Oryzias latipes: one gene and its partner. The protein of the gene in region 2 binds, or shares a complex with, the protein of the main gene of each other region. Links are inferred from orthologs where the notes say so. Each region holds a gene or a part of one and is shown on either strand. Other genes may lie near its edges.

The links. The genes of interacting proteins can lie anywhere in the genome.
Region 1: the proteins of tbc1d23 (region 2) and stx16 are in contact, whole or in part, in a crystal structure (PDB 8QQF), measured with the Homo sapiens proteins. The link is inferred for Oryzias latipes from reciprocal best matches to the Homo sapiens genes TBC1D23 and STX16. Residues at the interface, in NP_001186127.1 of Homo sapiens: Leu638, Asn639, Ser640, Val641, Val642, Lys643, Ile644, Thr645, Ser646, Lys647, Lys648, Ser661, Ser662, Ala663, Ile666, Thr683, Lys687, Ile690, Met691; in NP_001001433.1 of Homo sapiens: Asp209, Asp210, Asn211, Thr212, Leu213, Tyr214, His215, Arg216, Phe218, Thr219, Glu220.

What each region holds. Positions count from the first base shown.
Region 1 is NC_019863.2:27,695,523-27,699,576, forward strand, and holds the start of stx16 (syntaxin-16), read right to left. Parts: upstream 2,802-4,054; 5' UTR 2,477-2,801; coding exon 2,351-2,476; intron 1-2,350. UniProt on the Homo sapiens protein: SNARE involved in vesicular transport from the late endosomes to the trans-Golgi network.
Region 2 is NC_019862.2:28,284,967-28,289,168, forward strand, and holds the start of tbc1d23 (TBC1 domain family member 23), read right to left. Parts: upstream 2,803-4,202; 5' UTR 2,739-2,802; coding exon 2,701-2,738; intron 1,673-2,700; coding exon 1,561-1,672; intron 1-1,560. UniProt on the Homo sapiens protein: Putative Rab GTPase-activating protein which plays a role in vesicular trafficking. Involved in endosome-to-Golgi trafficking.

The DNA of each region.
Region 1 (4,054 bases), on a different chromosome or scaffold from region 2:
TTGAAAGTCAGTAATCCTACACCTGAGCGTGCTGCAGCTTTGCAGAGCTGAAATCTGATCTTTCCACTGGCAGAAAAAGCTGCTTCAGGGATCGTCTTTTCAGGTCTGTTTGTTCATTGACAGGCCTGAACGAAAAACTGACACCTGGGTCAATATTTTCCAATATTTCAAGCATCTTTTGTTTGCTAACTTAAGTGGTATTGCACAGATTTCTATCCACATTGCTTGGACGCAATTTAATAAATCAAATAAATATATATATATATATATATATATATATATATATATATATATATATATATATATATATATATATATATATATATATATATATATATATATATTTATTTGATTTATATATATATATATATATATATATATATATATATATATTTATTTGATTTATATATATATATATATATATATATATATATATATATTTATTTTTATTTTTTTTTACTAAAAAACAGATTAAAGTCTACAACAACAACAAAAGCAAGAGAAAATGTACTAGCTAGCAGGTAAAACTACCAAACTCTTCACAGGGATTAAGCTACATTGCCAGCTTCCAGCTTCATGTCAGGGTTTTCTCTAGTTATGCCCTTTTTTAACACAAACTACAAAATTTGATGTGAATTCACCATTAATACATGCACTTTTAATAAGACTAAATAATAAATATTCAGTGATTTAACGTGATAATCAGATTGTTTATTTGTTTTATACTTTTACTTTATGTTTAAATAGTATTATTCAAGTTCTTTTAACTCTACAAAGATTTATTAAATGCCCGCTCCAATGAAAATCCTGTTTTTAGAATTTTCTTTATTTCACACCTTTCTTTATTAACATCCAACCGCTACAGGAGATCATTCCTAACTCACTCCATTGAACTTTATAACTCATCCTCCATTCGCCATAGTTAACCCGTTTCGATATATTCTCCCATATTTCCCTGATTGTCACTCATTGCTTTTTATTTTTATTTGTTTGTATTGAGCCTGTATACGGTCGCTGCAACAACCACATTTCTCAAGCTGGGATCAATAAACCATTGTTATCTCATCTTGTCTTGTTCTTGTGGCATTTTTCCCCTAACGAAGGACACATATATAGACAATTAAGCTTAAAATTGTGTTTCTGAGTATTTCATCATTCACATTGTTGGGAATTAGGAGCAAACTCATAAATGCCGTTTGAAAAAGGTTTTAGCTGTCACGTAGGAGCTACCAGCTCCGCTCCATTCTGATGCATCCACTTGCAGACAAATAGATTCATGTACATCTTTGTTTCTGGATAGCTCCAACATTTCTCATCATTTTTGTTGCACCAGAAACGCTAGGTGGGGGCTGATTAAAAAGGATTGGAGTGGGACTTTAAAGAGTTAGAAGTTTTAGTCTTTAGAGTAGGTTGGCTCTGTGTTCTGTGTAGCAGTCTTGTAAAATTATCAGCTCTATAAAGCCTTTGCTACATCGCTCCAGTGGAACAAATTAGGTAAAAGACTTCAAAAGACTATTTTAAAACAGAATTCATTGTCTTTTCTTTATTATACAGACAAATGGTGCACAGAGCCTTAAAAATCTCTTCCACTGGTGTCAACAGAGATGCTGCTCCTTTGCTGGCAGTCGATTTCAGAGCAACTGTTTGTGTTCTGTCATCATTTCTGACTGAGGGGCCAAAAGTGGTTTGTTGGATTATAATTGGTGGCGCTAAGTAAACAACCAATACTTTTTAAGTTGATTTATCGACACGGTTTCACACATTACAATAAAAAAAATTATAACCAAATAATTTAAGACCTCTCCTTTCAAACATCACACCTTTTCAGGGGCATACCTGTGAATTTGTAAATTCAAGACTTATGGGACATATAAAACCTTAAGATGAACCCTGCTGGAAGAAAATATGAAGGAAGAAAGCTTTTTAGCATGCTGTTAAGGTACAAAGTGAAGTAAAAAGAAAATAGTTTTGTGTTCAATTTGTCACAGTGAAACAACCAGTGTGGGCGAGTCAGAATCAAAGTGCAGCACACGTGGACATAAAAGTATGCTGCATGAATTGCACATTTCAAACGACAAAGTTAAAGTCCTTTTTTGTTTTTAAGAACTGCAATTAATTGTGAAAAAAATATACACAACACAAAACCTAATTTTTAACTAAACTGCATTGTCTTCATCCTGTTTGACACAGACTGGTTTGGGCTGCTACAACACTACACCAACACTCACGAAGACAATCCAATCTGATCAAAAATACATAAAAAATACAGTATGACTCTAGCTAGGGGGGCTGGTTCACTGGCTAAACGCAAACACACAGTAAAAATGTCAAAACGATGCAGACCACTCACCGCAGCATTGCTACGTGTACTCAGACGGGGCTCGTATGTACTCACTTGCTCAGCCAATATGTTCCGATTTTGGATTGCATTGTTCCGCATTAACAAGAAGGCATCTGTCAGACGCCGAGTGGCCATGACTGCCTTGCTTGAGGTCTAATGACAATCAGTGCAGATCAGCCGATGGTGGAGGAAATTTGGTACACTGACTGACTCGCTGCTAAGTTATCACTAGCGTTAGCTTAGTTTGTGACTAATGAGGACAACAAGCGAGGCAGTTCCGATATAAGACGTTCAAAAGCTTAAAGATGGATATTTTAAACATCTCTGAATAAAGGATTAATGATAGTTAACATGGCCGCCGGTGTCCTGTCAAATTTGGAATTTAGGATCGGGTTAGAAAAGCCGCCTCTTCGCTACCAAAGAGCTACGGAAGTAGGACAACGTAAACACCCACGTCATCATTTTCTTCTTCTACTATCATTTACACCAACAAATCTGACAAACTGGTAGTTATTGCCACCTACTGGTTCTGGAAGGAACATTCAATTACAATCACTGGAAAAGTGATTAAAAACGAGGTTCCTAGAGTTTTATAGTAAGTTATATAAAATGTGTTGTGCTCTAAATTCTTTTATGGTACTTCATTTTATTTTTGAATTTATGAATTTTGTCACACAATTATTTTCATCAGTTTAAGAAGCTTGTTCAGTCTCAATCAGAAATGCACACACTCTGATTCACAAATATATATTTAAGCTTCATGTGGATTTATGAATTTATGTTACATGTTTGCATAAATGTATAGTTGTGAATCAGAGCATGTGTATTTGTGAAACAGTTTGTCTCCATTTCTGATTATTGAGACTGAATACACTTCATAAAGTAAGATACCTAGTTATTTTGAAATATCAGTGAAAGATAACAACCTACTTTCAATGCTTATAAAAGAGGTGCAAAAGAATAAAATTGGCCAAACCTTCATTATACTTTTATGACATTTTGACAAAATCCAACATCCTGCATCCATATTTTTTTAGACACATCAGTGACAGGATTGTTGTTATGAAAAAAAACATGTTTTTTTAAATACCAAAATTTGCACATTATTTTTTTGTTTTTGTTCTGCCTGATTTCACAAGACAATCTGATAAACTGTTAATTGGTCTTCCAAAACCATCTGCTGAGTTCTTCCCCTTTTACTCAATATTTTTGACTACTTTTTTCATCTTGAGTAATATTATTTTGAAGTGAAACTGTTCCTTCTTGAGAGCAAATTTTTTGATACTTCATTACCTTGGAAAAAGGGATTTGTAGCACATTTTCATAATAAAGCAAATGTTTGATTATGAAAAATAAATTCCTCAGTGTTCATAGAATCGGCCTGATTTCAACTATGGCCTTGGCAAAAACATGTGAAGTGAGCAATAAAGTAAAACTCATTTTTTGTCCCTTCAGGGAAACTGATCCAGCTGTCCATAGTAAATAACAATCCAAGACTCTGAGTGTGCACATTTTCACAAATGCTGTTTTAAAAAGAGAATACATGCAAGTCAACAGAAATATTCACTTTCACTATGACGTTTTGCTGCAGTGAATCGTTTCTGGGTGAGGTAGATGTTGGAACAGGGATGAACTGCAGAAAACATCTGCTCCACCAGCACGTGTGTCACTTTTGTCAGTTCGGCGGACTCATAATCTGTGTGTCTGCTTTAC
Region 2 (4,202 bases):
AACAAAAAAACATTCAATGCTGAGAAATAAAGCTTATATTTAAATAAAATACGTCTTCATAATTTAACAATAAAACTTAATGGGCTATCTCTCTGAAACAACATGTTTTAGACAATAACACTTTATGTTCCATTCAAAAACCTGCCCAGAGCTTTATTTACAAATAGAAGTACCAAAATAAATCATCAAGCACAAGGACTCAAAGTGAATTCAGATTTTAGAAAGCAAAGCTTTGGTTTAACTCTCATTACCTGTAGAGAACAATCCAAAAGCAAAAATTCAAACAATGACAGGAGTGTTGCTTACGTCAGAGTGGGAGAAGTGTCATTATTAGACAGCGAAACTTCCTTTTAAACATGAAAGGCTGGTATTTCCAGTACTACTCCAAAGTTAGAGACAGACTCACTTTTGCATTCCAGCATATTTAACCTCAATAGAACACTTTAAGTGTCTTAACCTCTGCCAAAGCACTGAATGTTTCATTTTAGTCTTTTTTTTAACTTTTTATGTAGTTACACGAAATTATTGATGATTTGAAGTTCTAGCTTCCTGTTTGACCTTTGCTTATTTTAATAAAAATCCAGCATAACTGTCATTTCTAACTGGAGCCCTCCCTGGTTCACTCTCTGTCCTAATGAACATCCTGTAATTTGAGTAGTACAGTATTTTAATATTCAACAGCTGGTAAGTAAGCTGTAAAGAAATCATTATTTCTAATTCAAAGACCCACTCAGATAATTTTTTGATTTTTTTGTCTAAGCATTCCCAGTGGTCTTTTAAATCACGATTACGCCGTTGTTAGCCAAAATCAAAAAACCCCTGTGTTGCTTTTTGACATCGTTTCTGCAGAGCGGCAGGAGTTCATCAGAAATTCACTTCTCAGTAGTGGGCAGGACAGTTGGTGTGGTGCAACCCCGCCCCCACTTCCCATTACCAATCTGTTACCCATCTACACCGCCAATCTAACATTAGCGGTGCAACAAAAATGGTGAGCAATATTGGAGCTATCCAGCTGTACAGTTTTGATCCAGATACCAGCTCGGACGAGGAAAACAAAGATGTACATGGATCTGTTTGTCTACAAGTGGAGGCATCAGAATGGAGCAGAGAGCTTATAGCCAACTCAGCTTATTCTCCTAGCAACAAATACAATTTCTTTTTAAAACTGCATTTCTTTCTCTGATCCTAATAAACAACAATTAAATACTCAGAAATTCATTTTTGCTTTTTTTTATACATCCCCCCCTCAGCATCAGAAAAATACTAAAAACATGTTAAAAACATCAAAAACGCAATTTTCATTTGAGTGGGGTTTTAAATCTTTCACCTTTAGTGTTTTTGTTTTAGTGAACAGTTGAATTTCCTTTTACCGTTATTTTTCTGCACTTCTTTTTTGCTCAGAGGATTTTACTGGTGAACTAATTTGTGATTCGTCAGTAATCTGTATGGGCAGGAATTTAAACAAAACAATCCAAGATTTCCCCCTGACTAATAACCATTTTTCACAAAAATATAAAGCTATTTTCCCATCTGTTAAGAAGGACCTAACAAGTTTCTCACCGTCCACATCTTGACTCTGTGTTGTGCTGGTTGCTCTTGGACCTGAGCGATCCCTCTGTCCATCTCCATGTCAGAGCTCCCAGAGTCCAGAGCCTCAGCTAGCTCCTGATCCCTGATTAACAGACACAGCAATCCATTAATTCTGAGGACTTTTATACATTATGCAGCATATTAATGCTTTTTTTCCCCCTGAATGCATTAAAAACGATGTGTGATTGAAATGCTATCAAACATGAGATCATCTTGTTGATTTTTAGTAATTTTAAAATTAAAAAAGATTAAGAAACCAATAATATAGACTTTTTTTAAATAGGTACAGAGTGGCTTTCACATCAATTTGTTTCCAAGCAAATGCCTAACTAATATGGACTATTATGGATTATGACAAACAGGACCTCTATGTTATCACCACTTCCATTAACCCTTGTGCTATCCTAGGCACTTTAACATTGGGAGTTGGGTCATCTAGACCCACTAGACAGTGCTCTGAACCTTTTTTCTTCAATGATTTGTGATCCTCACTGGTGTCCATGGATTACATGAAATCTTTCCACCTTTATCCACCTTTGTCATGGTAGGAAGAAATAAGGGTGGGGTCATCTAAGATAGCACAAGGGTTAAATCAGTCCTTAAGCAGTGAGTTAACTTCACCGGCACTGACTGACAGAATGGCGTGGAGATTTTTACACTATATGTAATTATATGTTAGAACAGGTAAAAAATAAATCAAAACAAAAATGCTGGTCAGAAAATGACTTAAAAGAGGCAGTTAACAGAGAAACCGGTAACTGTCAAGTTACGAGAGCCAAAAGGCTGACTTAAGTTTTCCGCTGACTTAAGCAAAAGTATTCCACATTGTGTAAATACTTATTGGGAAAAAATATCTATTGCTTTTATTTTAGCACGTGCACTGTCAACCAAAACAAGAAATTGGATAAACAAGTCGCCACTGATTACTCTTTATTATTAGCAGGCTAGCATTCGCTAGCTAAACTACTAGCTGGCTTTAAAATTGACCGTTAAGGAAGCAGCTCACCTGCGTCGATTATTTACGCGTCAAATCAGTCGATAACAATTTGTCAAGACATGTTGACGCTTAGAATAACACAGAAGGGAAAATGCTAGAAGGAAAATTCTTACCAGCTTCCCTGAAGAGCTTCCTCTACAGCGTCCGCCATTGTTGTGTTCCAAGAGAGACACGTCACGCGTCAGCCGTACGTCAATGTGTCGTAAACGCGTACGCTTTATTTTATTCTATGCAAATATTCAAAGTAAGAATTCTGATTAAATAAAAGTTTATGCTGAGGTTTTTCATTATGTATTGTTATATATAGATATAAATATATATATATATTGATATAAATATAAATACAAATATATTCCACGGTGTGCGTTAATAATTGAAAATGCATACTTCGTCAACCACTAACCATTACACACACACAGACACACACACACACACACACACACACACACACACACACACACACACACATATATATATATATATATATATATATATATATATATATATATATATATATATATATATATATATATATATATATATCTCTCGATCGATCGATCGATAGATACTTAGATACTTAGATATATATATAAAGGGACTCTGTGTTTTCTTTTCAGTTTAAATTGTATGATAATAGAACCTTTTTAATATGACAAAGTAAAGGTCTATACCAAAGCCCTAAACGCACATAGAAAAATAAAAATAAAAATTAGGCACCATAGTTCCAATTATCAAGAAAATAAAAAAAATATATATTTTCGTTAAAATTTGTAAATATTGTTTTTCTCGGTATTCTATGAATTATTGATATAAAAATAAATAAAATCAATATTCAGTTTTAAGAAGCTACCATTCTTTAACACAACTCCTTCCTTTCTATCCAGGCTTGGATCCGGTATATGGACACTGGATATATGGACACTGAAAAGTGCCCCTACTTGGTCGCAGAGACTCGCAGAAATGCTGTGTCTCACAATAAAACTATAATATTCACAAGAATGTTGAGTGAAAGTCTTAAAATCTGGAATGAAACAAGAGAATATTGATTTAAATTGTAAATACATTGAACTGTTAAAATGTACCCTGCCTTCACCCACAAGTGGCCAGGATAGGCTCCAGCAGCCCAGTGACTCCGAAAGGGATAAAACAGCAGCAGAAGATGAATGAATGAATAATTATAATAAATGTAAAAGGAAACAAAAGTAGACAGTTGTTTTTTACAGATTATACTTTTCGAAAGTAGAAATTTATGTGAAAGTTAAAAAATGTAAATAAATGAAAATGTAAGCTGAAAGGAGTCATTTTTAAATGTTTTTCAAGTGACAAACAGCTTTTTTTAAACCCATTTTAAAGTATTTTTCCTCTAGAGCGAAGGAACAAAAGTTTTTAAAATTTGTGTTTTTTTTTTAAGTTTTGTATTAGTGAGGAATTATGTTTTGTGCATTTTTATAAAAGTAGATATGAATTGTTTTTAGAGGTGTTTCCAAAATTTCTTAGGAAAGGGGCCAAAGGTGCTCTTTTAAAATAGGATGAAACTTTTTTAGCCAACGTTTCCATTACAGTTGGAAAATATTTAAATCTTTTTTTGTTAATATAAAGAAAAAACAAGTTGAAA